Lonchura striata: one gene and its partner. The protein of the gene in region 1 interacts with the protein of each later gene in a biochemical or structural test. Links are inferred from orthologs where the notes say so. Each region holds a gene or a part of one and is shown on either strand. Other genes may lie near its edges. The genes, in order: MC4R and POMC.

What was found.
Region 2: the proteins of MC4R (region 1) and POMC form a complex in vitro, tested with the Homo sapiens proteins (2 studies listed by BioGRID). The link is inferred for Lonchura striata from reciprocal best matches to the Homo sapiens genes MC4R and POMC.

What each region holds. Positions count from the first base shown.
Region 1 is NC_134603.1:97,657,558-97,673,517, reverse strand, and holds MC4R (melanocortin receptor 4), read left to right. Parts: upstream 1-9,353; 5' UTR 9,354-9,580; intron 9,581-9,662; 5' UTR 9,663-9,806; coding exon 9,807-10,802; 3' UTR 10,803-10,938; downstream 10,939-15,960.
Region 2 is NC_134605.1:112,533,153-112,549,393, reverse strand, and holds POMC (pro-opiomelanocortin), read left to right. Parts: upstream 1-9,154; coding exon 9,155-9,217; intron 9,218-13,278; coding exon 13,279-13,764; 3' UTR 13,765-14,042; downstream 14,043-16,241.

The DNA of each region.
Region 1 (15,960 bases):
AACCTACTATACAAAAAATGAAGAGGAGAGACCCCTCAGGCTAGAAAGCATAAAATAAATGAATAAAAACCCCAGTCAAAATAGAATATTCACAAGAGTTGGTAGCATTATAAAAGCAGCAATTTTTTTTTCAAGAAACTTGTTCAAAAGTGTAGCTTGTTGATTGTATCTGCTATTGACCTCTGCAGGCTTGGCTTGGAAACTCTATGTAGGATAGAAAATGTCACATGATGCAGCCAATAAAAACTGCACAAAACTAAGCCTCTCATGAAGCTTGACCTTTCCTTTAAATGGCTTGTCTTTCAAAATTTTGATTGAAGGTGATCTCTAGTCCCAGAAAATGCTCTGAATTAATAAGAATAGTGAAAACTGCACCACATTTATTATCACCACATTGATTATTTTGTGAGACTGGGTGCATTATATGTTTGTCATTTAGGTCAAGATTATAGAAGCCAGAGAAAGATTACTTTTCCATGCAATACTCAGTCCACACTGAAACAACAACTGTTCTTTGAGGAATAGATTGTATTTTTCTTGGTGTTTATGACAGTGGGGTTTCATGTCATTTGATTCCATCAAATAAATATATCAAACACTTGAGATGAAATCCGGTGATTAAGAGGGATGGACTGCTAATTCTGCAGACAGCAACTAAAATCTTTAGAGATCACATAGCTTTAAACAAACTTTCATTCATGCCACTGATTTTTTAAATGCATTAGAAAGGTTTCAACTTGCTATTTTCATTAATTTTATGTCACTGTGCATGGAAAATTGTCTTTGGGGAGGTAGTGCAAGATGTAAAGAAGAGAATATATCTTTTATATGAGAATTCACCTGAAATAAAGCATAACTGGCCCTTAAATTGCTTGTTTGTTTAATACAAAGTACTTAAGCACTGTCATCCAGCAAGCAGTGAGAGCACATTGCGGTATCTGATAGTTAAAAGAGACCTGTAATGCTTCATCCTTGAATCTCTTTTCTATCATGTAAATTAATTGAAATGCAATTATATGTTTCCCATGACTCTGAGACAGAAAACTACTTTCTTCTGTCTCAGAGTGATTTTAATCACTTTAATGCAGAAAATCACTTGCTTGAATTTTAGTGACCTTGCTAACTATCATTTGTGTAGATTTTATACCCGGAGAGGTAGGAAAAAGGGGGATAAACCTCACAAATAGCTTGTTATACTTCATTGCAGAAAATCCTTTTCATACTGATAGCTCACCATATAGTGAGATGCTTATAAGAGCTATTAAAAAAAATAAATCTTTTGGGACTTAGCAGTGTTTACACTTCCCAAGAGATGAAAGTCGCACATATATCTACACTCACGAAACTTGATGGGGAAGGTTGTGCTCTTTCCTTCAACAGCTTCTCAGCTGAAGTTAGGTCTGATTCTCTTCTCTGTCTGCTTTTCATTGCTTCTCAGAACCTTTCTGGGTTTCACAGGGGATCTCAGCTGCTCTACCAGCTATAAGAATGTCACCTTATAATCAGAAGTAAACATTGGTACTCCATTTTGCTGGAGAGTTGTCATATGGCTCTGTTTAAAGCAGTGTTGCAACCTTCTCATTCTTTATACTTCTGGCCATGATGTGGCTTAACTGAATTAGTCTGTCACTAAGCATGTGATAAATCATATAGATTTAGTAGCACAAATAAGCTAGTTCAGTCCTCCGTTCTACTATTCTGTCTCAACAAGCATTTTTCAAAATTATAAGGAAAACCTCCTAAAAGGCAGAGAAAAAGGATGCTTGTTTGATGTCTTTCAAAGAAGCTCATAATTTCCTTTATTAAAGTAAGGAAGATGAAACAGAATTTTTTAGGAAAACACACAATATGATTTAATTGTACTTTGTGTATCTGAGTTTGAAGACAGAAAAAGACACTGTAGTGTCTGTTCCTAAAATAACTTGCTAAAGAAGTTTTATTTAATATTATCAGCAATAATTGCTGGAAATTGTTGCCTTTCTCAGAAAGAAATCTGAATCAGTCAGTTCTTCCCAGGATGTAGCTATCTGCCATGTAAATTTTGAGTAAGCTAATTCAAGCTTCCCAGGGTGATGAAAAAACCTTTTGCTTGCTTGGCCATTATTTACACATTTCTTAATTTTTCTGTGATTTTCTTTATGTGATTAATTTTTTAACATTTTCAGGGCTTTTTTCTGTTTAATTTTTTTTTCAGTTATCTGCAGGAATTCACAGTACCCTAAGGTGCTGCATGCTGGCATATTGATATATATATATATATATATATGTTCAGGCTAACAGTCCTTGGAGGGATTTTACCTTTATTTTCTGCTTTCCTTTACTGGAAAGGAAATGTAACATGCATTTAAATTGGCTTTGTTTCCCTTGCATCCCATGTTTACAATTCTCTACCTCATTCTTGCAGACGTGAGGAGGAAATCTCATCTCTGTTGCTCCCACAGTGCCACAGTAAGAGTCACTCTGGAGTAGGGGACTAACTGAATAAATATGCCCAAAAACCATTTGACATCTCAGTTTACACAACTGCAGAGATTCCCTTCCTCACTGAAAAATTTTACATATGGCATGTGAGGATCCTTTGGTACTTTGTTTTCCCCTGTTTAACTCTCAAAGGTTTCAAACAACACTCTAGTCTCTCAATTAAACAGTTAGCTTCAACAAAATCTCTTTACTGTACAAAGAGAGATAAAATATTACTAATACATTAAAGAATTTCAGTCCAGCTTGAGAACTCTGGAGCTTTTCTTGGTCACCTTTAAAAGGGGATATACCTTCACCCACAGTTCTGTAGACCGCTTCTGAGCCCTTATCAATCTTTAACTCATTTTTGGGATTTAGACTACCAGTAGTCCCATCTTGTCTGTTGAAGCAAAAGCATCTCCGAGTCCAGGTTGATTTCTCAACCATCAGGGTGATTCAAGTATTAATCTTCTACCATGGCTACTTTCTCTCCCTTCTGTTCTTTTTTCAAACAACCGTAGAGTGTGGAGTTTGGAACAACGTAAAGACACGAGCTACTCAATTTATTACACTGCTCTTATATATACTTTCAACCTTTCATTTTCATGAGAGTCTGTTATGGCAGAAAGTCATCAGCCTCTGTCACAGAAAGCCATAAAATCTGTATGCCATGAGCAGAGAAGAAAATTATTTATAAGGCATATATTTTTCCCCTAAAAAGCGAAGAAAGGAGACTCCTCCTGAGGTTATGAAAAATAACCCTTCAGTGAGGGCTAGAAGTTCTCAGCAATGACCCAGATCAATTCTGCTATTCAAAAACAGGAATTGGTTCATGCCCCTGAATTTTAGAAGAAGACTTTTCTACAAGAGTTTTGAAAATAAAATATTTCTGCTTTCCATTGGGTCAGCTTCATTATCAATATAATCTTGTAACTCAGACTTTTTTAAAGTACCAGAGATCTTCAAAGGAGGAACAGCAGTTTTCACAAGATGAAAGGGGGTTTTTTCTCACCATATGCTGATGATTGCTGTAAAGAGGTTATTGGGAAATCAAATCACTGCAGACATTCTGCAACACTTCAAAAGTCTAGACATTTTGTACTTTCCCCTTCTGTGTCCAGTTCTCAGAGAAAACAATGACAATTTTGGATTGTGTGTCAGTGACAATACACTTACCTGAGGGAATTACTCTCAGGGTTGTCCTTTCATCTAGTCTTAATCCTGACACTGCTGCTGCCTGACTCACTCATTGTCACATCACTTGGTGTGTCTGCTTTATATCTTATGTCAGATTATGACTCTGGGATTTCTAGTTGCTTAATGGAACTCCTATGGAGGAAAACAATTCACAAGTAGTTTAAGCACTTCCTGCAGACTCTGTCCAAGACTGCTTCAATATCTCTACTAAGAAACAGAGTGCTTAGAGGAGCTACCAAAATGAATGGAAACCCTAAAAATCCACTGTGCAGATATAAATATGTATATATATGCAAGGTTTTGTGCAGAACATTCAGTGAGGGTTAAAATAAGCTGGTTTTTGGTAACAGAATGTATGTGTGTATGTATGTAAGCCCTTTCAGACATAAACTATGCATCTTGAACAGTGCCTACTTAAGTACACAACTCTTCCTTCCTGTAAAGCCACTAAAGAAATGATTACATGGTATTGTCTGGCATTTCCATTGGAGTAACAACAATCACACTCAGAGGTGAGTAGATTGAAAGAAAGACTCAAGCCAGTTAGTAGCTTTCCATCTCACATAACTTTTGGTTACACTGCCATTCAGAGAACTTTTCTGAGAAACTGAAGTCATTGACATCATACAAAACAGCTGGGTTTTTTTTTCCCACAGCATAATCCTGGGCTTTCTTTAGATGATGATCTTCCAGTTTTTCTGCTGTGGCTCTCTATTTCTTATTCAACTATAATGAGACATGCCATTTTTCATGGTTAGACAGCGGGACTGACTAGGTTGTTTTTCAGCTAGAATGAAATGTTACAGCATTTCTCACACAGATAAAAACTGAGTATCATTATGGTAGAAAAGTCACAATGATAAACTAGAAAAGTGAAGATATTTTTAAACTTCGTCATATAAAATTATCTCATGATCTAAAGTGAGACAAAGAATGGTAGTGCTGAAAATGGCCCTGTCAGGTGCATATAGGAAGTGGAGAAGAGTATTAGCAGTATTACTTCCACTATATGTATGTTCAAAGGTCATGAAGAAAGGAAATGACCAGATTAACAGCTTATTTTTAAAAATCATAAATAATTTAAATAGTTGCTTATTTATATATATATATATAAATCAGTGTTATTGTTTTTTGGTTTGATGAGCTGGATTGATGGAAATATTTATTTTGTACTTAAACCCAGATGCTGCTGTATGTTTTTTTGAGAGATTTTTAGAGAGGGATAGTAACACCGAGGAGATTGTGGAGTCCCTTGGACTAAGTACTTCAGATGAGTCTGAACAGCAAGCACCTAAATCTACAAGCAAGGAAAAGAAAATTGATTATTTGTGAAAGATGGGATGAGGGAGAAAAAACTACAGGGATGTCATTGCTGCATTGACTGCAACTTAATAGTATCCATTATCACAATGCTGGTCACCTAAAATAGCAATGAGATCAGATGTAAACAGGTTAGTGTTTAAAGCCTCTGTGCTTCTCATGCCATTTTAATGGAAAGCATTCAATTTCTATTCATTTTCAAGTAATCACAAATGTATCATAAGGCAGAAAAATCAACATTTATGTGCTTTTAGTCTCCAGACTGATTAAGTGTTTCTCCTTTTCTTTTAACTAAAAGACATGAGGAAAAGAGGCAAGCTACAAAGACTCCTGCTCTCGACACCGAAGTCCCTTGATTTAAAAATTCCTTTCACTTTAAAAGATAAATATTATGAGGTAATCATAATAAAATGCCAGGTGAAAAGATATTAGACCAGTTTCCCACTGACCAACATTTTTTATTTGCATATAGTCCCAAAATACAGTGATCAAAATCCTGAACACTGGGAAGCAATGGAGAATATTTGGGGTTTTTTTTAATTATTCCATTCCTAACAGGGATATTAATAGAGACTGCATCACCTAGAGATTTTCAGATTGTAGTAAGCTGGTGGGTAAATGGTGGACAGACTAAAGAACAGAGATTTGATGTTGTGAGACCAGAAAAAAACTACTGGTCCAAAAATGTGAGCAAACAAGCGTACCCATATTGTTCAGAGGCTAATTTACTGAACTAGAAAGAATCAAAGAAATGCTTCTTCCAAAGACATCTGTGGATAGGAGGTAGAAGTACACTGCATTATTTTCATAATTTTGGTGAGTATCTTGAGTGCTAGGTGGAATTTGCCACTGCTACATAGAGAGATGATGCACACTAAAATCTCATAGAAACTTCCAAAGTTTAATTACCTGGCTCTTTTTCTTTTTTTTTTTAATTTCAAAATCAGCATGCTAAAATATACTGCAGTTTTTACTACAATTATAGACTTGAGTTTTTGAATGCACAGAAAAACTGGATCTGAGGACATGTAATCAAAGTCCTCCATGAACTATGCTTGTTCATGTAAATGCAGCATCACCCTTTGGACAGTACCAGCATAGTCACACAAAGCCAAGGGACTAATTAAATGTTAATAATCTGTTTCTTTGGTTACCCCTTCTACCCAGCTTCCCACAACCACTCTTACAGATGCTGAGGTGCTAAATATTATCACTGTGCTTGAGTAATGTGGCCATGGGATTCAACGGGATCTCACACATTGTGCATTTGAGTAGGAAAGGGCCTGGGTGGACTCCCTCTGTTTTTCTTTTTCTCCCACAGTGGACATGTACAGCCTGCTCATGTCTCTGCCTGTCTTCTTGTATCACTTTTGGGACTGCTCATTGATTTCAGTGAATGCTTTGTTCTGATTTTCAAATTCAACTGCCAGAAGATAATTAATCTTTCGAAAATATTGTGAGGTGGAGATGGCTGTAACCCTGTCTGGAAAGAGGGTGTCAAAGCGTATCTCCAAACAGAGCATAGAACATGGGGGAGTTATATTAAAAGGGGAGGCTCTGCTCAAATCTTTGTTGATGGCTTATTTCTCTTAAGAGCTGGAGCTTATATTAGTATATCACTGTAATCAGTTTCTAGTTTTCTGCAACCATGGTTGGTATTCCAAGGTGCTGAGAAGCTTGCAGGCCATTACTATCGAAAAAATATTGTCACAGCATTAGTTTTTAAAATTTAAGAAATAATTTAGGCAATATCTGTTAGACAATATTCCTTTCATCTTTGAAATAGATAATTGAAATATTAACATGTCTTCAGTCATGAGGGAGCTAGGATACTTTGAACAATTTTAGCATTATGTGGTTTATTTCTTATTAAATGGGAGCCTGAGACATGCATCCATCTTTTTCCATGGAAGAAATTAGATGCACATACATCTTCTCTCATTTTAAAGAAGTGCTCATATAATTTGTTTTGCCTTTTAGTTAGATCAGGCTGATGATGCATCATCTCTTCAGTGCTTCGACTAAGTTGCTAAGCTACCTTAAGTCTGCTGCTTATAAAACCTCATTCCACAAATATGAGTGGAAAGCACCAAAACAATTGGGCCCCAAGAATACAAAGCATAAGCAGAAATTTGGAGGGGAGTGATGATTGTGGGTGGGGAGAAAAGTAGGCTTTTCTTTCCATTTTTATAATCAATATTACATTTTTATGACACATTCAGTGAAAAATCAGACAAGGAATCACCTGGATAGCTTCTGGGTGGAGAGAGCAAATGAAAACATATATAGTGATAAGATTGGAGATAATGTGCAGAGAAAATGAGGAACCAGGAGGGGAATAGACTGACAGATAATTGGAACAAGTGGGGCAGTACTCCTTGGAGGAAGCTTCTCTCTATTCTTGACAGGCTAACCTGATCTAAGTCCACCTAAGTAGGTGAAGAGAGAGATCCCTGAATTGTGGGCATTTCCAGCATGGAGAATATTGTGAAAGAAGGGATGTTGAGTGGCTACTCTCCTGGGATAACTTGAAGATTACACATTTCTAGATTCAAGTGTAGAAAAGAAGGTTATGAGGAGATGCTGTTCTCCCACATCAGTCTTTATATATATTTTTTATAGTTCTTTTCTTTAATGGTTAGGTGTGCATTAGCTGTCTGTATCAGGAATTAGTGAATACCGTATCACTAACAGTGATACTGCCTGAGGATCAGTAACTAAATAAAAAATCCTCTTGAGTTCTTGCTTGCATTATGTCTTGACAGTAAAGCAAATGTCACATTTTCAGGAGCAAACTATTTAATTTCAAGCATTCTGCTCATAAATTATGTAATCCAAACTGATAAATGTGGGATTTCCTGTGCCACAAGTTATTTTGTTGGTCATGGTACTTTATGTTTCAGCTTTATGAAGCAACCTAGCTGAAGAAGGGGCCAGAAAAAAATTGATTGAGGCTTTTCTTCCAATATAGGTCTTCATAACCATAGGTCTGCAGCAATACAAACGTGAAAGTAAAATCACACTTCAACCTGATGTTGAGATGTTAAATACAGATAGTTGTGCTTCTACATGCATTCTGTCATCCTGTACCTCTTTATTAGGTGGTTCACTTTTCAACCAGCTAACACACTGAAGATGAAAATATTTTGAGACATTATAGAAAATAGACTTTTGCATTAGGTGCAGACTCCTCCAAAACCTGACTGGTAGTCAACTGGAAATGCTCTTTCAAACAATTCAATCGCAAATATTACTCTCAGATATGGTGACAGAAATTCCTATGGCATTTAAAATCCATTTGTGTTTTAGGCTTTGCTTAGCATATTTCTTTTTCAAACCTCAGTTGCAATGCTTGAAGATGTAACAGCAAAACAACTTTTGTCCTGTCTCTTCATGTTACTTTGGCATTCTTTTCTTCTTTATTCTCAAGGGTTTTTCCTAACACACTGCACACAAGCAGACTTTCAGCTCATGCCCAGTAAGTCCAGGGATATCCCTGTGCTTCTAGGGCTCCTGGGCCATGTGGACTTCTAGGAGATTTATTGATGCTTTTGTGTCATTGCCACTGTATGAGCTCTATTTCTTACAGGTTCCAACTTTGTCTCCTGCAGATTTCCTTCAACTGTTCTAAATACTGAGATTTCTTTTTCTGCCCAATATCTTAATTCTTGATGATGACAGGGCTTCTGCAATCAACTCCATTATCTTTTTCTTCTCAATAAGATTACTAAGAAGTCTATTACCTGGAAAAAATGACTTTATTTAGGACAGTTTATTATGTCATTTGTGACTTTGAGTCATGGTGGTTTTGGTCTTTATCTTGCCTCCATACATTAAAAATGATAATAATCTTATTAGAGAGTATAATGCAACCTTGCCACACATCTTGGAAATGGACAGCTAAGGCATAGAAAAATAGCAAGGCAAATGGGACCAAGGAGAGAGAACCATGAGGAAATATATATTATTTTTCTTCCCTTTCCTGTTCATATTTTGCTGCACATACAAAGCAGAACAAGTTTGTGCCACAGAAGGAGCAAGAACAAATCTGAATCTGAAAAATAAAATTTATCACTTTAGCTGAAAGACTTCTGTAAGATTGCTAGTACAGTTCTGAAAGTTTTGCTAATTGAAAATCAGTACTGAAATATTATTCTGTGAAGCTAAAGAAGAGAAGCAAATCTCTGGTAGCTTGTCTGCTTTCCTGTAGCTACTGGTAACTCGTGCTGCATCTGAACCCGCTGTGCCGTGCCGTGTGATGTTTCACAGAGGCTCAGAATCAGCAGCCCCTCCACTTTCTGCAGTCCTGAGTCCCATTGGCTGGAAAGAAAAGCAGAGGCGGAGAGTGCCCTGAATATTTTTCTCTTCCACACACGGTGAAACAGGCAGCCAGCATGCACTGCCTGACAGTGAGAGTGGTGCTTACAGTTTGACAATAGTTCCTGCTCCGCAGCAGTCATTTGGGCATTTTATGGTCGCATCTCTTTAATGGAAAGCACCAAAAAAGCCTTGCAGCATTCCAGTGAACTAAAGAGGAACTAACCATGGGAGAATCTGATTAAAACATAGAGACTGTTGGGACTCTGTGACATAGATCACCAAGGTAAATGCAATGACTATTCAGAAACTCTGTCTGTAAGGGTGTAAACCAGTTCTTCTGAGTCTGAAATCTTATTTTTTCACAGTAGTCGAAGTGTTCTGAACTGCTGCCTGCCTCGGTCCTAGCTTCTTTTTTTCTTTTCCAAGCTGAAAAGCCAAAGAAGGTTTTCAAAGGAATGCAAAAGGAACAGAAGTTTTAAAAGCGGGAAGCCGAAAGACATCTCCATAAGATGAATTTCACCCAGCATCGTGGGACACTCCAGCCTCTCCATTTCTGGAACCACAGCTACAGACTGCACGGAGGAGCTAGTGAACGCACTGTGAAGGGCCACTCCTCAGGAGGCTGCTATGAGCAACTTTTTGTGTCCCCTGAAGTGTTTGTGACTCTGGGCATCATCAGCTTGCTGGAGAACATCTTGGTCATTGTGGCGATAGCCAAGAACAAGAACCTCCATTCTCCCATGTACTTCTTCATCTGTAGCTTGGCAGTGGCTGACATGCTAGTGAGTGTATCTAATGGATCAGAAACCATTGTCATCACCCTGCTAAACAACACAGACACAGATGCACAGAGCTTTACCATAAACATTGATAATGTCATCGACTCAGTCATTTGCAGTTCCTTGCTTGCATCAATTTGCAGTCTTCTCTCAATAGCAGTGGACAGGTACTTTACTATCTTTTATGCCCTCCAGTACCATAATATCATGACAGTGAAGCGTGTAGGGGTTATCATCACATGCATCTGGGCTGCTTGCACAGTCTCAGGCATTTTGTTCATCATTTACTCTGACAGCAGTGTTGTCATCATCTGCCTAATCAGCATGTTCTTCACTATGCTCATTCTCATGGCATCCCTCTATGTCCACATGTTTATGATGGCTCGTATGCACATAAAAAAGATTGCTGTTCTTCCAGGGACTGGCCCTGTTCGTCAAGGGGCCAACATGAAAGGGGCCATCACTCTCACTATCCTGATTGGAGTTTTTGTTGTGTGCTGGGCTCCATTTTTCCTACACCTGATTTTCTACATCTCCTGCCCCTACAACCCTTACTGTGTGTGCTTCATGTCCCACTTTAATTTCTACCTCATCCTCATCATGTGCAATTCCATCATTGATCCACTTATCTATGCATTCCGTAGTCAGGAGCTTAGGAAAACATTCAAGGAGATTATATGCTGTTGTAGCCTGAGAGGGTTTTGTGATTTCCCTGGCAAATACTAAACTGAATGGATGGATAAGTTACTGTGTACACAACTGGCAGCATAGATTTCCTAGCCTTCGGATCTTCTTTCTCAGCAGAATTTGGTTTAAATCTTTAAGAGTGACCATCTGTTTCTGTGTTCCCCCCCCCACCCCCCCACCCCCCCCGCCGATTCTTGTGTTCCATTCATGTGGAATTCATATTTCTGTATAATATTCATGATGTCTATAGTTTGTAATTTATTTGGCTGGAAAGATCAGTAGCACTTCATACCAGTTTGTAAATAAGCAAATAAATGTAATGATGAATATAAAATAGCAACAAACATGAGCAGCTATATATTCCAACTGCTGACAAAATAAATATCTTGCCTGACTTATAGTACATACTGGCTAATACTGTTTCTTATTCTGTTGAAGTAATTATAGCTATCCACTACATTATACTCAGTTAATAATAGAGCATGTGCTTCTACATTAGTAGATTAAAGGTTCTCTGGAATTAGAAAGCAGATTTTTCAGAAAGGCTAGTGAAAGCAACAAGTTCTATTTATACATTTTGAACTCTTCTTGTTTTGCTTCACAGCAGAAATTCTACTTTTTCTTTCTTACTTTCCCTGCCCACAAGAAGAATTTTCAAACACTTGCTACACAGCCAGTTGAATGCTTGGGCTTTGGGCTGGGTTTTTTTCCAAGATGATTGCTGTATGTCTGAGAGTACCTTTTTGCAAAATTTAAATTGCTCCCTGGAGCATCAAATAGTCCTGGATATATCTACTAGACTGGCATCCAGGCAGACTAGCTCCCTCCATTCGGCCATGAAACAGGTACAATATTAACTTTGACAGTGCCAGCAGCAGTGCAAATATTCACTGAGAGATTTACCTGGTGAAATAGAGAGGGAAGTTCAATTGGAACATTCAGTCATTTTTCTGAGGTGCTGTGGAGAATAAGGACTCTGTGCTCCAGATGGAAATGCATCCTTGTTGAAAACAAACTGCCCTCTGTTGTGAAGTGCAATGGTAGCAGATGGGATCCACTGCCAGGATCTTTACACAGGAGTCAAGGCAAGTGTTAATTTGGTCTGGGCACCTCAGCCCATACTGTGGAACATATGGGCTTTGGAGGGGCAGTGCTGTCACATGGAATGAGTGCCTGCTGATGAGTCTGGTTACACACGCTCAGCATCTGGCAGCTGCTTGAATTCAATTCACCTTTGCAGGCATCTACTTGATGTGTTCTCAGTTTCACCCTAAAATTCCATGCTCTTCACAGGTTGTTTTAAGGACCTCGGGTTCCTGGTATTAGTCCTTTTGGAGGTGTTTAAAGCATAAATGTGACTACACAAGATTCCGTGAAGATGTAATTTAGTATCTTGATATTTTGATGATATCAGCTTCTATATAAGGAGAAAAAAGAGTAATTTATCTATTTCCAGAAAGTATAAAACACAGTGAAACTTGTAGAGGATCTGGAGAGTTCTGATTTAAGAGCTCAAAATTAAAAGTAAAAAACAACTCAGGTTTTAATGCTGAATGCTTGCTTTTTGCCAAGATGAACAGTGAATGAATGAAATACGGGATGGCCAATCCTATTTATTTTCTTGTAAACAGATTGTTCTCTTCAGCTGCTATTTTTTTCATCAAATTAAAACATAAAATGAAAAGCTATTCAAAGAGAGCAATGATTGCTATCTCAGATTCTCCAGACAGAAGCTGATATTTCATCGTGGATAACTTTTCAGGATATCGCAGAACTACAACATTTGCCCCTCTGTTAAAGTGCATGAAAGACTTAGGGTGAGTCTTAGTGTTTTTAACTTTAACTATTTATAGGAAGAGCAAGAAAATCATTTGCCTTTGTGCATTGAAGTCCCTTGGTAGACCAACAGCACCAACATCAGGTCTCCTACAACCTACTCTTGTGCTTGGGCCAATCCATGGACCTTGCTGCTTGCAACACCACTATTGATATTTCTCAGCTTTAACAAATGATATTTCCACATCAGTCGTAGTGTGAAGGGTATTGAATTATATCTACTACATTAATTCTACTATTTTATTCTGGAAGAAACTGTAAATATTTCAATAATACCTGGTTCCACTCGATATAGAATAAAAAATGCCAAAGGAGGAGAATTAAAGCCCAAGCAGAGAAAGAAAAAATGCATTTAAATTAATATTCTATCCAAAAATCCAGTGAGCTTTGCTAAAGGCCTTTCCTTCTCCCACAAGACACAATACAAAAATACTCTGGTTGTAATGAAAGAAAATATGGATGCCAGTTTAAACAAGGCATAAATCCTACTTGATCTTTGCTTTGCCTCATTTTCTATAGCTGTTTTAGGACTGTAAATTATGACACTGGGGGCTTCAGCTTTTCCTTTTGTAGTCCATAGCTGCAGAGAGGGCCCCAATGAAAGTGACCAAAGAGCAAAATACTACCTTAGGTGCTCTGAACATTACCTTGAAAGTCTCTATTTCTCCCCTTCATATGTACAAGGAGCAGATACTTCTGAATTCTGAAGAGGCTGTATTTAAAAAAAACCCAGTGTGTATCTCTTTTATGCTTATTTGGACTATGACTAGTCAAGACAGTTGTGACACCATTAGGCTCTAAATTTCATTTATAAATATAATTTTTAAACTATCTTATTCCAGAGCTTTAGCAGCTCTGAGACTGTTTAGCAGCACTTCTGTCTTTATTTCATAACAGTATATGTACATAGATATTTTTAAATGGAGTTTCTAATTAAAGATGATTTTTTCATTTCATGGTATCATTTTGGAGAGTGCAATTCATTGAAATTGTTGGCACATCTGCTACATAGATTATTTTCCTATTCCAAAATAGTCTGTTTCTTCTGAGTAGCTGAATCAGTTTGCCAGAACCATAGGAATTATTCTTGCAAAAGATAAATTAATTAATCTAGTTTATTGGAGATTGGGAGGAGTGGAGGATTATTTTCCACAGTCAATTTTCTGGAGCTTTGTTCTTCTATTTGAAAATACTCCAGGAAAATGTGATTTCTTTATTTAAATTACTAGGACTGTAATTGCTTTAGCACTTAGCATTTTGGTCATGTTAGGTAACTGTAGTGGGCTGACCCTGGCTGGATGCCAGGCACCCACCAAAACTGCTCTCTCATTCTCCTCTGCAGCTGGACAGGGGAGAAAAAATATAATTAAGGATTCATGAGTTAAGAACCAGGAGAGATCACTCATGAATGATCTGTTCATGAACAAAACAGACTCAAATTAGAGATATTAATTGAATTTGTTACAATCAAAGTCAGAGCAGGATAATGACAAGTAAAATATAACCTTAAAAACTTCTTCCCTCCACCCCTCCCTTTCTCACTCCCTCCCAGCTCTACCTCCTCCTCCCAGTGCCACAGGGAGACAGGGAATGGGGTTTATGGTAAGTTCATCACACATTGTTCCTTCCACTTCTCAAGGAGAGGAGTCCTTCCCCTGCTGCACTGTGGGGTCCCTCCCACAGGAGGCAGCTCTCCATGAACTTCTCCAATGTGAGTCCGTCCCACGGGCAACAGTTCTTCACAAACTGCTCCAGCGTGGGTCACTATTCCACAGGGAGAAGTCCTTCAGGCACATCCTGCTCCAGCATGGGTCCCCCAAGGGACCACAAGTGCTACCAAGAGACCTGCTCCAGTGTGGGCTCCTCTCCACAGATCTGCAGGTCCCAGCAGGAGCCTGCTCCAGCATGGGTTTCCCACAGGTTCAGAGCCCTCTTTTGGGCATCCCCCTGCTCTGGTGTGGGTCTCTCCCATGGGCTGCAGGTGGATCTTTGCACTCCCATGGACCTCCATGGGCTGTAAGGAAATCTGAGATCCAGTGCCTGGAGCACCTCCTGCTCCTCCTTCTCCACTGACCTTGGTGTTTGCAGAGCTGTTCATCACACATGTTCTCACTTCTGTCTTCTCTGGCCACAATTAGATCCGACAGTAACTTTTCTTCTTCTTGAATATGTTATCTCAGAGGAGTTGCCATCATTTTTAACTAGCTCAGCCTTGGACAGCAGCAGATCTGTCCTGGAGGCAGCTGGCATTGGCTCTGCCAGACCTGGAAGAAGTTTCTGGCAGCTTCTACAGAAGCAGTTTATGCAAACCCAATACAGCAGCAATGGCATGTTCTTCTGCAGCAAGCCTTTTCCTGAGCTAGACATTGATGGTAGTGTTCTCCACATTTTCCTAACAACTTAAATTTTACACAAAAAGTTTTTGAAGGAAATGTCTATCTTCTTCAAGAAGGACTTTTCTTTAGCTTCGAAGCAGTTTTAGAACAAAGCAAAAGACTTCGAAAAGCACTTAGAGGATGTAGTTAGTCTCAGTACAGCAGATTTTGAATGATGACCCAAAATGTCTTTTACATCTGAAATATGATATTATCTGGAAGCAAGGATAAATGCTTTAATAGAGTCACATTATTAAAAATGCAGCAATGCCTTCAGTTATGCCTTTAAGAGATGTGTAGTGCACATGTTATTGATGTAATCATAAAATTACTCTTTTGCTCTTAAACTGATCTTGTTATACAGTGTGTTTATTGGGGCCTCCTTCATCCTCAAACCTAATTCTGGTGAAGAACTTTGATGTTATTTTTAACACACTGTATTGCTTATAGGCTTGCATAAGAATTGCAGTCCCAATCCCACTGGAAGGAACTCTACAAAAATGTACCCTTGGGCATGAAATCTTCATTGTTCATCCAGAAATTGCCTTAGAATTCAAGTTAATATTCTGATCCCTTTCATCATAGCTCAAGTATCATAAAGTTTTCCTTTTGGATAAAATACTTCTCTCACAAAAAAAAAAAAAAAAAATACTTCATGTGTCATAGGAGCCCTTGACTACTACTACAGATGCTCATTGTCATAAAAGCTAGGTTATGAATTGACCCTTCTTGTCCTTTTTCCCTTTTTCCCCCAATGGTTCTCTTTTCCTGGATGTTTTTCCATTTTTTTGCTCACTTTGTGCATTTACAAAGAAATTTTCAAATCACCCCTTCAAGTTTTTAATGTAAAAGTATTAATCTGTTCTGCTGTTACTGGTTTTTCTCCTTGCAAATATTGTTAATTTGTTTCAGTTATTAGCCTTCATGCTTGGTCTATTTCTGGATTTGTGTATTTCCATACTGCCATCAGATTTTTCCAAGTCATA
Region 2 (16,241 bases), on another chromosome or scaffold:
TTCCTTGTTATTTTTCCCCTATTTTTGGGTTATTTTTCCCCTTTTCCCATTTTTTTGTTCTTTTCCCATTTCCCCTCCCGGGGGATTTGTGGGATTTGAGCCGGGCCGAGATTTTCACACCTAAAGGTCGCCAATGACGCAGGAGCCACTCAAAAATCTCGTTTTTTTTCTTTATTTTCCCCTATTTTTCCCTTTTCCCTGATTATTCCCATTTTTTCCATTTATTCCAAATTTTTTCCCATTTTTTTCCAGTTTTCCCCCCCATTTTATTCCCATTTTTATCCCATTTAATTCCCATTTTTCCCCTATTTATTCCCATTTTTTTCCCACTTTTCCTGATTCTTTCCCCATTTTTTCCCATTTATTCCCATTTTCCCTGATTTCCCCCCATTTATTCCCATTTATTCCCATGTTTCCCAATTTCCCTCATTTTTTCCCCATTTCCCTATTTATTCCAATTTTTTCCCCATTTTTCCCCATTCCCTTTTTTTCCCTATTTATTCCCATTTATTTCCCATTTTTCCTGGTTTTCCCCCTCATTTATTCCCATTTTTCCTGATTCTTTCCCCATTTATTCCCATTTATTCCCATTTTTCCATTTTCCCCTTTTCAATGGAAGATCAGAAATGACGCAGGAGTGACACAAAAATCTGATTTTTTTTCTTTATTTTCCCCTATTTTTCCCTTTTCCCTGATTATTCCCATTTTTCCCATTTATTCCAAATTTTTCCCATTTTTTCCCAGTTTTTCCCCCCATTTTATTCCCATTTTTACTATTTTTCCCTCATTTATTCACGTTTTTACTGATTCTTTCCCCATTTTTCCCATTTATTCCCATTTTGTCCTGTTTTTCCCCATTTATTTCCATTTTCTCCCCATTTCACTCTATTTATTTCCATTTTTTTCTCATTTATTCCCATTTTATTCCCATTTCCCCCCCATTTATTTCAATTTTTCCCATTTCTCCCCATTTCCCCCCATTTTTTTCTCATTTCTCCCATTTTATTTCCATTTTTCCCCCATTTTATTCCCATTTATTTCCATTTTCCCTCATTTATTTCCCAATTATTCCTATTTTGTCCCATTTTCTCCCTCTTTTCCCCATTTCTCTCATTTTTCCTCTTTTTTTTTCCCAATTTATTCCCATTTTCTCCTCGTTTCCCCCCATTTTTTCCCCTTTATTTCCATTCCCCCATTTATTCTCATTTTTCTCCCATTTCCCTCTTTTATTTCCAGTTTATTCCCAGTTTATTCCCATTTTTTCCCCATTTTCTCCCATTTTTTCCCCATTTTATCCCCATTTTTTCCCATTCTTCCCCATTTCCCCCATTTTCCTTTTTTTTTCCATTTTTCTTCCATTTTCCATTTTCCCCCATTTTATTTTCATTTTTCCCATTTTTCCCCATCTTTTCCCATTTTCAGCTCATTTTCCCCCAATTATTCCCATTTCACCCCCATTTCCCCCATTTTTTCCTTTCTTTGAATTTTCCCCATTTTATCCCATTTTTTCCCATTTTATTTTCATTTTCCCCCATTTTCCCCATTTTTTCCCCATTTTCCCCCTATTTCACCCATTTTATTTTCATTTTTTCCATTTATTCACATTTTCTCCCATTTTATTTTCATTTTTTCCCATTCCCCCCCCATTTCCCCCATTTTTACCCATTTCCCCCATTTTTTCCTCAATTTTTCCCATTATATTTTCATTTTTCCCATTTTCCCCCTTTTTTTCCAATTTTATTTTCATTTTCCCCCCTATTTCCCCTTTTTTTCCTTTTTTCCCATTTCCCCCATTTCCCCCCCTTTTTCCCATTTTATTTTCCTTTTTCCCCATTTTCCTCCATTTTCCCCCTTTTTTTGCCATTTTATTTTCATTTCCCCCATTTTTCCCCTTTTCTCCATTTTATTTTCATTTTCCCACATTTTTCCCATTTTATTTTCATTTTTTCCCATTTCCCCCCCTATTTCCCCCATTTTTACCCATTTTCCCCATTTTTTCCTCAATTTTTCCCATTATATTTTCATTTTTCCCCATTTCCCCCCCTTTTTTCTTATTTTATTTTCCTTTCCCCCCCCTATTTCCCCATTTATTTCCCTTTTCCCCCCCTTTTTTCCCATTTTATTTTCATTTTTCCCCATTTCCCCCATTTCCCTCATTTTATTTTCATTTTTTCCCATTTTCCCCCCATTTATTCCCATTTTCCCCCCCATTTTCCCCATTTTTTCCCATTTTATTTTCATTTTTCCCATTTCCCCATTTTCCCCCCTTTTTCCCATTTTATTTTCCTTTTCCCCCATTTCCCCATTTTTCCCCTTTTTTTTTGCCATTTTAGTTTCATTTTTCCCCATTTATTCACATTTTCTCCCATTTTATTTTCATTTTCTCCCATTTTCCCCCCATTTTTTCCCATTTTCCCCCCATTTTCCCCATTTTTTCCCATTTTCCCATTTCATTTTCATTTTTCCCCATTTCCCTCATTTTATTTTCATTTTTTTCCCATTTATTCACATTTTCTCCCCTTTTATTTTCATTTTTCCCCATTTCCCCCCATTTATTCCATCCCCCTATTTCCCCCATTTTCCCCCCTTTTTTGCCATTTTATTTTCATTTTTCCCCATTTTCCCCCATTTTCCCCCTTTTTCCCCGTTTTATTTTCATTTCCCCCCTTTTTTCCATTTTATTTTCATTTTTCCCCATTTTCCCCATTTTATTTTCATTTCCCCCCATGTTCCCCCTTTTTTCCCATTTCATTTTCATTTTTCCCCATTTCCCTCATTTTATTTTCATTTTTTTCCCATTTATTCACATTTTCTCCCATTTTATTTTCATGCTCCCCCTTTTTTCCCATTTTATTTTCAGTTTTCCCCATTTCCCCCATTTATTCCCATTCCCCCCATTTCCCCCATTTTCCCCCTTTTTTTGCCATTTTATTTTCATTTTTCCCCATTTTCCCCTTTTTTTCCATTTTATTTTCATTTTCCCCCCTTTTTTCCCATTTTATTTTCATTTTCCCCCATTTTCCCCCAATTTATTTCCATTTCCCCCATTTTCCCCCATTTTCCCCCTTTTTTCCCATTTTATTTTCATTTTTCCCCATTTCCCCCCATTTATTCCATCCCCCTATTTCCCCCATTTTTCCCTTTTTTTTGCATTTTCCCCTAAAATTCCCCAGTTTTATTTCCATTTTCCCATGTTTTGCCCCCTTTTTTTGCCATTTTATTTTCATTTTTCCGCATTTTCCCCTAGAATTCCCCAGTTTTATTTTCATTTTCCCCCATTTTTCCCCTTTTTTTGCCATTTTATTTCCATTTTCCCCATTTTCCCCATGAATTCCCGGTTTTATTCCCATTTTCCCGTATTTTCCCCGCGCCCTTTCTCCCCTCCCCGCTAATCCCGGGGTTGTTTTTTTTTGCTCCTTTGTCGATGTTTTTTTCCCGGTTTTTTTCCCGGTTTTTTCCCGTTTTTCCCGTTTTTTTCCCGTTTTTTTCGGGCCGGCCCCGCCCCCGCCCCGCGGATAAAGCGCGGCCGGAGCGGCGGCGGCGGCGCGAGAGCGGCGGCAGGTAGGACAGCGCCCCATTAATTAGCCCCGATTAATTAGCCCCGATTAGCCCCGATTAGCCCCAATTAGCCCCAATTAGCCCCGAATTATCCCCAAAATATTCCCAAAACCGCCCCAATTAGCCCCAATTAGCCCCAAATTAGCCCCAATTAGCCCCAAAATATTCCCAATTAGCCCCAATTAGCCCCAAATTAGCCCCAATTAGCCCCAATTAGCCCCAATTAGCCCCAATTAATTAGCCCCAATTAGCCCCAATTAGCCCCAATTAGCCCCAATTAGCCCCAAAATATTCCCAATTAGCCCCAATTAGCCCCGATTAGCCCCAATTAGCCCCAATTAGCCCCAAATTAGCCCCAATTAGCCCAAATTAGCCCAAATTAGCCCCAAATTAGCCCCAATTAGCCCCAATTAGCCCCAATTAGCCCAAATTAGCCCCAATTAGCCCCGATTAGCCCCAATTAGCCCCCAATTAGCCCCCAATTAGCCCCAATTAGCCCCAATTAGCCCCAATTAGCCCCGATTAGCCCCGATTAGCCCCCAAATTAGCCCCGAATTAGCCCCAATTAGCCCCAATTAATTAGCCCCAAATTAGCCCCAAATTAGCCCCAAATTAGCCCAAATTAGCCCCAAATTAGCCCCAATTATCCCCAATTAGCCCCAATTAGCCCCAATTAGCCCCAATTAGCCCCAATTAGCCCCGATTAGCCCCGATTAGCCCCAATTAGCCCCGATTAGCCCCGATTAGCCCCGATTAGCCCCAATTAATTAGCCCCAATTAGCCCCAAATTAGCCCCAATTAGCCCAAATTAGCCCCCAATTAGTCCCAATTAGCCCCAATTAGCCCCAATTAGCCCCAATTAGCCCCCAATTAGCCCCACTTAGCCCCAATTAGCCCCGATTAGCCCCAAATTAGCCCCAATTAGCCCCAATTAGCCCCCAATTAGCCCCAATTAGCCCCCAATTAGCCCCAAATTAGCCCCAATTAGCCCCCAATTAGCCCCAAATTAGCCCCAATTAGCCCCAATTAGCCCCGATTAGCCCCAATTAGCCCCAAATTAGCCCCAATTAGCCCCAGTTAGCCCCAATTAATTAGCCCCAAATTAGCCCCAAATTAGCCCAAATTAGCCCCAATTAGCCCCAATTAGCCCCAATTAGCCCCAATTAGCCCCAAAATATTCCCAAAACCGCCCCAATTAGCCCCAATTAGCCCCAATTATCCGCGAAATTGCCCCAATTAGCCCCAAATTAGCCCCAATTAGCCCCAATTAGCCCCGATTAGCCCCAATTAATTAGCCCCAATTAGCCCCAATTAGCCCCAATTAGCCCCGATTATCCCCGAAATTGCCCAAATTAGCCCCAATTAGCCCCAATTAGCCCCGATTATCCCCGAAATTGCCCAAATTAGCCCCAAATTAGCCCCAATTAGCCCCAAATTAGCCCCAATTAGCCCCAAATTAGCCCAAATTAGCCCCAATTAGCCCCAATTAGCCCCGAATTAGCCCCAATTAGCCCCAATTAGCCCCGATTAGCCCCAATTAGCCCCAATTAGCCCCAATTAGCCCCAATTAGCCCAAATTAGCCCCAATTAGCCCCAATTAGCCCCGAATTAGCCCCAATTAGCCCCAATTAGCCCCGATTAGCCCCAATTAGCCCCAAATTAGCCCCAATTAGCCCCAATTAGCCCAAATTAGCCCCCAATTAGCCCCAAATTAGCCCCAATTAGCCCCAATTAGCCCCAATTAGTCCCAATTAGTCCCAATTAGCCCCGATTAGCCCCAATTAGCCCCAATTAGCCCCAATTAGTCCCAATTAGCCCCAATTAGCCCCAATTAGCCCCAATTAGCCCCGATTAGCCCCAAATTAGCCCAAATTATCCCCAAATTAGGCCCAATTAGCCCCAATTAATTAGCCCCAATTAGCCCCGATTAACCCCAATTAGCCCCAATTAGCCCCGATTAGCCCCAATTAGCCCCGAAATTGCCCCAATTAGCCCCAAATTAGCCCCAATTAGCCCCAATTAGCCCCAATTAGTCCCAATTAGTCCCAATTAGCCCCAAATTATTCCCAAATTAGCCCCAAAATATTCCCAAAACCGCCCCAATTAGCCCCAATTAGCCCCGATTAGCCCCAATTAGCCCCAATTAGCCCCCAATTAGCCCCCAATTAGCCCCAATTAGCCCAAATTAGCCCCCAATTAGCCCAATTAGCCCCAATTAGCCCCAATTAGCCCCAATTAATTAGCCCCAATTACCCCGATTAGCCCCAATTAGCCCCAATTAGCCCCAATTAGCCCCAATTAATTAGCCCCAATTAGCCCCAAATTAGCCCCGATTAGCCCCGATTAGCCCCAATTAGCCCCAATTAGCCCCAATTAGCCCCAATTTAGCCCCAATTAGCCCCAATTAGCCCCAATTAGCCCCAATTAGCCCCCAATTAGCCCCCAATTAGCCCCAATTAGCCCCAAAATATTCCCAAAACCGCCCCAATTAGCCCCAAATTATCCCCAAAATATTCCCAAAATTGACCCAAAATAGCCCCGAATTGCCCCGAAATTAGCCCCAAATTATCCTCAAATATCCCCAAAATAGCCCCAAATTACCCCCAAAATATCCTCGAATTAACCCCAAAATATCCCCAAAATATCCCTGAATTAGCCCCAAAATATTCCTGAAATATTCCCAAAATAACCCCAAAATAGCCCCAAACTGGCCCGAAAATATTCCTGAAATATTCCCGAATTACCCCGGAATTAACCCAAAAATATCCCCAAATTATCCCCAAAATAATAGTCCCAAAATATCCCTGAAATAGCCCCAAAATAATCCCAAAATAGCCCCAAAATATTCCTGAAATATTCCCGAATTACCCCGGAATTAACCCAAAAAATCCCCGAATTATCCCCAAAATAATAGCCCCAAATTATCCCCAAAATATCCCCAAAATAGCACCAAAATATCCCCAAAATATTCCCAAAATATCCCCAAAATATCCCCAAAATTTCCCCAAAATATTCCCAAAATAACTCCAAAATAGCCCTGAATTATCCCCAAAATTATCCCCAAAATTATCCCCAAAATATCTTTTTAAAAATCCCCCCAAAAATTTAAAAATCCCCGAAATTTCCCCAAAATATCTTTCAAAAATCCCCCCAAAACCGCCCCCCCCCAAAATTCCCAAAATATCCCCAAAATTCCTTTAAAAACACTTTTTAAAAAAAAATCCCAAAAATCTCTAAAAAATCCTAAAAAATTTCCCCAAAATTTCCAAAAATCCCGGAAAAAAATCCCGGAAAAAAAACCCAAAAATATCCTTGGAAAATCCAAAAAAATCCCAAAAAAATCCTTTAAAAATCCTTGTAAAGAGCCCAAAAAATTTCCAAAAAAATCCTTAAAAATCCCCAAAAATCGATTTAAAAACCAAAATAAATCCTAAAAATTTGGGGGGATTTTTTGGGGGATTTTTTGGGGATTTTGGGGATTTTTGGGGGATTTTTGGGGGATTTTTTTTGGATCTTGGGGAGGATTTTGGGGGGATTTTTTTGGGGGATTTTTGGGTATTTTTGGGGGGATTCTTGGTGGGAATTTTTTGCCATTTTTGGGGAATTTTTGGGGAATTTTGGGGATTTGTTCGGGATTTTTGGGGGGATTTTTTGGGATTTTTTTAATTTTCTGGGGATTTTGGGGGATTTTTTGGGGGATTTTTTGGGGGATTTTTTGGGATTTTTCGGGATTCTTGGTGGGATTTTTGGGGATTCTTGGGGGGAATTTTTTACCATTTTTGGGGAATTTTTGGGGGATTTTTTGGGGGGATTTTTGGGGGATTTTTGGGGGGATTTTTGGGGGGATTTGGGGGGATTTTTGTGGGGGATTTTTTGGGACTTTTTGGGATTTTTTGGGGATTTTTTGGGGGATTTTTGGGGATTCTTGGGGGGATTTTTGGGGATTCTTGGTGGGAATTTTTTACCATTTTTGGGGAATTTTTGGGGATTTTTGGGGGAATTTTTTGGTATTTTTTTATTTTCTGTGGATTTCGGGGGTTTTTCAGGGGATTTTTTGGGATTTTTCGGGATTCTTGGTGGGATTTTTTTACCATTTTTGGGGAATTTTTTGGGATTTTTTTTATTTTTCTGTGGATTTGGGGGATTTTTCAGGGGATTTTTTGGGATTTTTTGGGGGATTTTTTGGGATTTTTCGGGATTCTTGGTGGGATTTTTTTACCATTTTTGGGGAATTTTTGGGGGATTTTTGGGGAATATTTGGGGGATTTTTTTGGGGATCTTGGGGGATTTTTTGGGGGATTTTGGGGGATTTTTGTGGGGATATTTCGGGGAGTTATTTTGGGAATTTTTGGGGAATATTTTGGAGATTTTTGGGGGGATTTTTTGGGATTTTTTTATTTTAGGGGGATTTTTGGGGAATTTTTCGGATTTTTTGAGTGATTTTTGGGGAATTTTTGGCGATTTTTTGAGGGGATTTTTCTGGGAGGTTTTGGGGGATTTTGGTGGGGATTTTATTTTTAATTTTGGGGGATTTTTGGGACCGTTTTGGGGATTTTTGGGGGGGATTTTTGGTTTTTAAAGGAATTTTTGGGGGGATTTTCCAGAGGGAAACTGAGGCACGGAGCTCCCAAAAGATTCCCAGAATTTTTTCGGGATTTTTTCCCCAGTCCTTCCCAAAAAAATCCCCAAAAATCCTTAAAAAAAAATCCCGAAAATCCCTTAAAAATCCTTTAAAAATCCCCCCTAAAAAAATGAAAATTCTCTAAAATATCCCCAAAATTATTTTTAAAAATTCCAAAATATCCTCCAAAAAATCCCAAAAACGAAAAAAAAATCCTCAAAAAATCATTTTAAAAAATCCAATAAAATCCCTGAAAAATTCCCTAAGAAATCCCAAAAAAACCCCAAAAAATCCTTTAAAAATCACCCAAAAAATCACAAAAAAAAAAACAACTCAAAAATTCCCAAAAAAATCCCGAAAAAAATCCTGAAAAAAATCCCAAGAAAATCCCCAAAAATTTCCATAAAATCTGGAAAAATCACCCAAGAAATCCTAAAAAAAAAATCTTAAAAAAAACCCTAAAAAATCCCCAAAACCCCCCAAAAATTCCATAAAACCCCTCAAAAATCCCTAGAAAAATCCCCAAAATCCTTTTAAAAATCCCCCCCAAAAAAAATCCTCAAAACCCCCCAAAAATTCCTTAAAAACCACCAAAAATTCCCAAAACAATCCCCAAAACATCCTCCAAAAAATCCCAAAGAATAAAAAAAAAAAAACGATAAAAAACCCCAAAAAATTCTTGAAAAAAATCCCCAAAAAAATCCCCAAAAATCACCAAAAAATTCCAATAAATCCCCAAAAATTTCCCTGAGAAATCCCAAAAAAAAAAACCCTGAAAAAATTCCCAAGAAATCCTCAAATAATCCTTAAAAAAATCAGAAAAAAATCCTTAAAAAATCCAAAGAATCCCCAAAAAAATCCCCAAAAAATTCAGTTTTTTTCCCAAAAATTCCCAAAAAATTCCCCAAAAATTCCCCAAAAATTCCCAAAAAATGCCCGAATTCCCGTTTTTCCGCAGGTTTCCGGGATTTCGGGATGGGCCCGCGGCTTCTGCTGCCGCTGCTGGGGCTGCTGCTGGCGCCGGGCGGCGCCGTCCCGGTAACTTCGGCATTCCCGGGAATTCCCACGCGGGGCGGGAGGCGTTTCGGGGTGAAGGGGGAATCCCAAAAAATCGGGGGGGGTTGGGATGAAATCCCAAAAAATCGGGGGGGGGTTGGGGTCCAATTCCCAAAAATCGAAGGGGTTGGGGATGAAATCCCAAAAAATCGGGGGGATTTGGGGTCAAATTCCCAAAAATTGGAGGGGTTTGGGGTCAAATTCCAAAAAATTTGGAGGGATTTGGAGAATGAAATCCCAAAAAATCGGAGGGGTTTGGGGAATGAATTCCCAAAAAATTGGAGGGATTGGGGATGAAATCCCAAAAAATCGGGGGGATTTGGGTCCAATTCCCAAAAATCGGAGGGATTGGGGAATGAAATCCCAAAAATCGGAGGGGTTTGGGATTAAATCCCAAAAAAATTGAGGGGTTTGGGGAATGAATTCCCAAAAAATTGGAGGGGTTTGTGATGAAATCCCAAAAACTGGAGGGATTGGGGAATGAATTCCCAAAAAATTGGAGGGATTTGGGGTCAAATTCCCAAAAAAAATGGAGAGATTTGGGATGAAATCCCAAAATATTGGAGGGACTGGGGAATGAAATCCCAAAAATTGGAGGGATTGGGATGAAATCCCAAAAAATTGGAGGGGTTTGGGGTCCAATTCCCAAAAATCTGAGGGGTTTGGGTCAAATTCCCAAAAAAATGGAGGGATTGGGGAATGAATTCCCAAAAAATTTGGAGGGGTTTGGGGTGAAATTCCAAAAAATTGGAGGGATTTGGGGTCCAATTCCCAAAAATCGGAGGGATTGGGGAATGAATTCCCAAAAAATTGGAGGGATTGGGGAATGAAATCCCAAAAAATTGGACGGATTGGGATGAAATCCCAAAAAATTGGAGGGATTGGGGAATTAAATCCCAAAAAATTGGAGGGATTGGGGAATTAAATCCCAAAAATCTGAGGGGTTTGGGGTCCAATTCCCAAAAAAACTGGAGGGATTGGGGAGTGAAATCCCAAAAAATTTGGAGATGGATTTGGGATGAAATCCCAAAAAAACTGGAGGAATTTGGGGTCAAATTCCCAAAAAAATTGGAGGAATTTGGGGTCAAATTCCCAAAAAAAAAGAAGGGAAAATTTGGGAATCAAATCCCAGAAAATCCAAAAATTTGGGAATCAAACACAAAAAAATCTGGAAAATGGGGAACTTGGGAATTTCCCTGGAAGTTTTTCAGGATCTCATCCCAAAATTCCCAAAAAATGGAAGAATTTGGGAATCAAATTCATAAAATACCAAAAAATGAAGGAATTTGAGAACGAAATCGCAATAAATGGAGGGATTTGAGAATCAAATCCCAGAAAATCCGAAAATTTGGGAATCAAACACAAAAAATCCCCCAAAAATGGGGAATTTGGGAATTTTCCTGGAAATATTTTGGGATCTGATCCCAAAATTACTTAAAAATGGGAAAATTTGGGAATGAAATCCCCAAAAAATGGAGGGATTTGGGGTCAAATTCCCAAAAAATCAGAGTTGTTTGGGATCAAATCCCAAAAAAAAAAAAAAAAAAAAGGGGAAAATTTGGGAATCAAATCCCAGAAAATGATAAATTTTGGGAATCAAACACAAACAAATCTGAAAAATGGGGGAATTTGGGAATTTTCCCAGGGATTATTTTGGGATTAAATACTCAAATTCCTAAAAAATTGAGGGGTTTGAGATAAAATCCCAAAAAATGGGGAAATTTGGGAACGAAATCCCAAAACCAGGAAAATTTGGGAATCAAATCCCGAAACTTTGTGGGATTTGGGAATGAAATCCCAAAAAATAGGAAAATTTGGGAATCAAATCCCAAAAAACAGGGAAATTTGGGAACGAATTCCCACAAAATGTCGGGATTTGGGAATGAGATTCCAAAAATTTCCCAAAAAATGGGGGAATTTGGGAATGAAATCCCAAAAATTTGAGGGATTTGGGAACGAAACCCCACAAAACGTCAGGATTTGGGAATGAGATCCCAAAAACGGGGGAATTTGGGAACAAAATCCCAAAAAACGGGGAAATTTGGGAACGAATTCCCACAAAACGTCGGGATTTGGGAATGAGATCCCAAAAATGGGGAAATTTGGGAATCAAATCCCAAAAAATGGGGAAATTTGGGAACAAACCCCCCCAAAAACGTCGGGATTTGGGAGTGGGGATTTTCTGTTGGATTTTTTGGGTCTGAATCCCTAAAAAATCCCAAAAAAAACGTGGGAATTCCGTCCCACTATTCCCGTCATTTTTGCCATACCAGGCTTAAACCAAATTCCAAAAATGGGGAAATTTGGGAAGGAAATCCCAAAAACAGGAAAATTTGGGAATCAAATCCCGAAACTTTGTGGGATTTGGGAATGAAATCCCAAAAAATTGGAAAATTTGGGAACCAAATCCCAAAAAACGGGGAAATTTGGGAACGAACCCCCCCAAAAACGTCGGGATTTGGGAATGAGATCCCAAAAATTTCCCAAAAATGGGGGAATTTGGGAATGAAATCCCAAAAAACGGGGAAATTTGGGAACGAATTCCCACAAAACGTCGGGATTTGGGAATGAGATCCCAAAAATGGGGAAATTTGGGAATCAAATCCCAAAAAACGGGGAAATTTGGGAACAAACCTCCCCAAAAACGTCGGGATTTGGGAGTGGGGATTTTCTGTTGGATTTTTTGGGTCTGAATCCCTAAAAATCCCCCCAAAAAATTTGGGAATTCTGTCCTGCAATTCCCATCATTTTTGCCATTCCAGGCCTAAACCAAATCCAAAAAAAATGGGGAAATTTGGGAACAAAACCCCACAAAACGTCAGGATTTGGGAATGAGATCCCAAAAATTTCCCAGAAATGGGGAAATTTGGGAATGAAATCCCAAAAAACTGGAAAATTTGGGAATCAAATCCCAAAAAATGGGGAAATTTGGGAACGAAACCCCATAAAACGTCAGGATTTGGGAATGAGATCCCAAAAATTTCCCAAAAATGGGGGAATTTGGGAATGAAATCCCAAAAAATTGGAAAATTTGGGAATCAAATCCCAAAAAACAGGAAAATTTGGGAACGAAATCCCACAAAACGTCGGGATTTGGGAATGAGATCCCAAAAATTTCCCAAAAATGGGGGAATTTGGGAATGAAATCCCAAAAAACAGGGAAATTTGGGAACGAATTCCCACAAAACGTCGGGATTTGGGAATGAGATCCCAAAAACGGGGAAATTTGGGAATCAAATCCCAAAAAACGGGGAAATTTGGGAACGAACCCCCCCAAAAACGTCGGGATTTGGGAGTGGGGATTTTCTGTTGGATTTTTTGGGTCTGAATCCCTAAAAATCCCCCAAAAAAATTTGGGAATTCCGTCCCACAATTCCCGTCATTTTTGCCATTCCAGGCTTAAACCAAATTCCAAAAATGGGGAAATTTGGGAAGGAAATCCCAAAAACAGGAAAATTTGGGAATCAAATCCCGAAACTTTGTGGGATTTGGGAATGAAATCCCAAAAAATTGGAAAATTTGGGAACCAAATCCCAAAAAACGGGGAAATTTGGGAACGAACCCCCCAAAAACGTCGGGATTTGGGAGTGGGGATTTTCTGTTGGATTTTTTGGGTCTGAATCCCTAAAAATCCCCCCAAAAAATTTGGGAATTCTGTCCTGCAATTCCCATCATTTTTGCCATTCCAGGCTTAAACCAAATCTCAAAAATGGGGAAATTTGGGAATCAAATCCCGAAACTTTGTGGGATTTGGGAATGAAATCCCAAAAAATTGGAAAATTTGGGAATCAAATCCCAAAAAACGGGGAAATTTGGGAACGAAATCCCACAAAACATCAGGATTTGGGAATGAGATCCCAAAAATTTCCCAAAAACGGGGAAATTTGGGAACGAAATCCCAAAAAACGGGGAAATTTGGGAACGAACCCCCCCAAAAACATCGGGATTTGGGAGTGGGGATTTGCTGTTGGATTTTTTGGGTCTGAATCCCTAAAAAATCCCCAAAAAAACGTGGGAATTCCGTCCCGCCGTCGCCCTTGCAGGCCTGTCCCGGGATTTCCTCGGAGCCGCCGCTTTTTCCCGGGAAGGGCCAATCCCGGCCGCTCTCCGAGGGCCTCCGGCGCTTCCGCTGGAGCTGGCAGGACGCCTCGCATCCCGGGAAACGGGAGGAGCTGGCCGGGAAAACGGCGGGAATTGCCGGCTCTTCCCGCTTTTCCGACGAGGCCGAGGACGGGAAGCGCTCCTATTCCATGGAGCACTTCCGCTGGGGAAAACCCGTCGGGCGCAAGAGGAGACCCGTCAAGGTCTACCCCAACGGAGCCGAGGAGGAATCGGAGGAGAATTCCCGCCCGGAATTCCGCAGGGGAGAATCATCCGAGGAGGAGGAGGAAGAATTCCCGGAATTCCCGTGGGATTCCCGGAAGGAGAAGCGTTACGGCGGATTTATGAGCTCGGAGCGGATCCGGACGCCGTTGGTGACACTCTTCAAGAACGCCATCGGGAAGAGTTTCGCCAAGGATGGGCAGTGATGGGAAAAATCCCGGGAAAATCCCAGAAAAAAAATCCCGGGAAAATCCCACGGGGAAAAATTCCCGGAAAATCCGGGGAAATCCCCCGGGATTCGCGGCCCCCGTAGCGTCCCCTTAGCGCTTCATCCTTCCTAATAAAAAATCCCGGGATTCTCGGGCGGGAATTCCCGGGTTTGGGAGTTCTTGGAATTGGGGCGGATCCCGGTTGGGAATTCTTGGAAATATTGTAAAGGAGGGATGGAAAATTCCCAAAAAAAAAAAAAAAAAAAAGCTACGGATGAGAGCGCTGGGAAGGGGAAAAAACGGGAATTTGGGTCGGGAAAGGGTTGGAGGGTGAATTTTTGGGATGAGTTGGAATTCCCAGGTTGGGAATTCTGGGAAGTTTTCCACGGGAAAAACAAGGACGGGGTGCAGGGAATGGATTTCCATGGGAAAAGGGAGGAATTTTGGGAAGGAATTCCCAACATTTGGGGAAATTTGGGGTTGGAATTCCCTGAGAATCTCTGGGAATGGCCAAGGAAAAGTTGGGAAATTCCAGGATCGTGGGATTGGGATTGGGGTGGGATGGAAGATCCATGGATCCCAACAATGGAATTCCAGGATTCTGGAATTCATCCCGAGGGATTTTTATGGAATTTGGAGATGGAAAAGAGAATCCCGAATTCCCAGGGAATTCCCAAAATTCCTTCCCGGAGAGGAGCTGGGATGGGGATGGATCCAATCCCAGGCTGGGAATGGCGGGAATTCCCGGGGAAAAGAGGAAATGGAATTTGGGAAGGAATTCCCAACCTGGCGGGAATTCCTGAAGAATCCCTGGGAATTCTTGGAATTCCCCTGGGAAACCTTGGAATGGGATGGGATTTCAGATCCATGGATCCCATCCCAGCCATTCCAGGATCCCTCCAAATCCCCTTGGAAAAGCTCTGGAGCCCCTCCCGTTATCCCGGGAAAAAAACCAGGATGGGATTTGGGAATGGGGATTTGGAATTCCGCTGCTCCCGTCGGAGCCGATCCCAAATCCGGGAATGCTCCGAGCTCCAAAATTCCATGGGCACCAACCCCAATCCTGATCCCGATCCTGATCCGATTCCCAGTTCTGGTCGCGATCCCAATCCTGATCCTGATCCAGATCCTGGTCCCATTCCCAATTCTGATCCCGATCCCCAATCCCAATCCTGATCCGGATCCTGATCCGGATCCTGGTCCCAATCCTGATCCCGATCCCAATCCCAATCCCAATCCCAATCCCAATCCCAATCCCAATCCCGATCCTAATCCTGATCCCATTCCTGATCCTGATCCTGATCCTGATCCTGATCCTGATCCTGATCCTGATCCTGATCCCGATCCCGATCCCAATCCTGATCCCAATCCTGATTCTGATCATGATCCCGATCCCGATCCTGCTTCCAATCACGATCCTAATCCTGATCCTGATCCTGAATTATGATTTTGTTCCTGCTTCTGATCCCAACCCCAATCCTGATCCTGATCCAAATCCCCAATCCCAATCCCAATCCAGATACCGATCCCTAATCCCAATCCTGATCCCGATCCCGATCCCATTCCCGATTCTGACCCCGATCCCTAATCCCAATCCTGGTCCTAATCCTGACCCTGATCCTGATCTTGATCCTGATCTTGATCCTGACCCCGACCCTGATCCCGATCCCGATTCTGATCATGATCCCGATCCCGATCCCGATCCTGATCCCAATCCTGATCCAAATCCTGGTTCCAATCCTGATCCCCCCCCAATCCCGATCCCAATCCTAATCCTGATCCCAATCCTGATCCCATTCCTGATCCTGATTCTGATCCCAATCCCCAATCCCGATCCCAATCCTAATCCTGATCCAAACCCTGATCCAAATTCCCGATTCTAATCACGATCCCAATCCCTGGTTCCGATCCTGATCCTGATCCTGATCCCGATCCCAATTCTGATCCCGATCCCCAATCCCAATCCTGATCCTGACCCCGATCCTGATCCCGATCCCCAATCCCTGGTTCCGATCCTGACCCCGATCCTGACCCCGATCCTGATCCCGATCCCCAATCCCAATCCTGATCCTAATCCTGATCATGATCCCAATCCCAATCCCGATTCCGCTTCCCATCTTGATCCCAATCCTAATCCCAATCCTGATCCCGTGTATGATTCTGGTTCTGCTTCCGATCTCGATTCCCATCCAGATCCTGATCCCTGGTGCTGATCCAGATCCCTGATCCCATTCCCAATCCTGATCCCGATCCCCAATCCCAATCCTGGTTCCCATCCTGACCCAGACCCCGATCCTGATCCTGGTCCTGACCCTGATCCCGATCCCCGATCCTGATCCTGATCCCAATCCTGGTTCCAATCCTGATCCTGACCCCGATCCTGATCCCTGTGCTGATCCATATCCCCGATCCCAATCCCAATCCTGATCCCAATCCTGGTTCCCATCCTGACCCAGACCCCGATCCTGATCCTG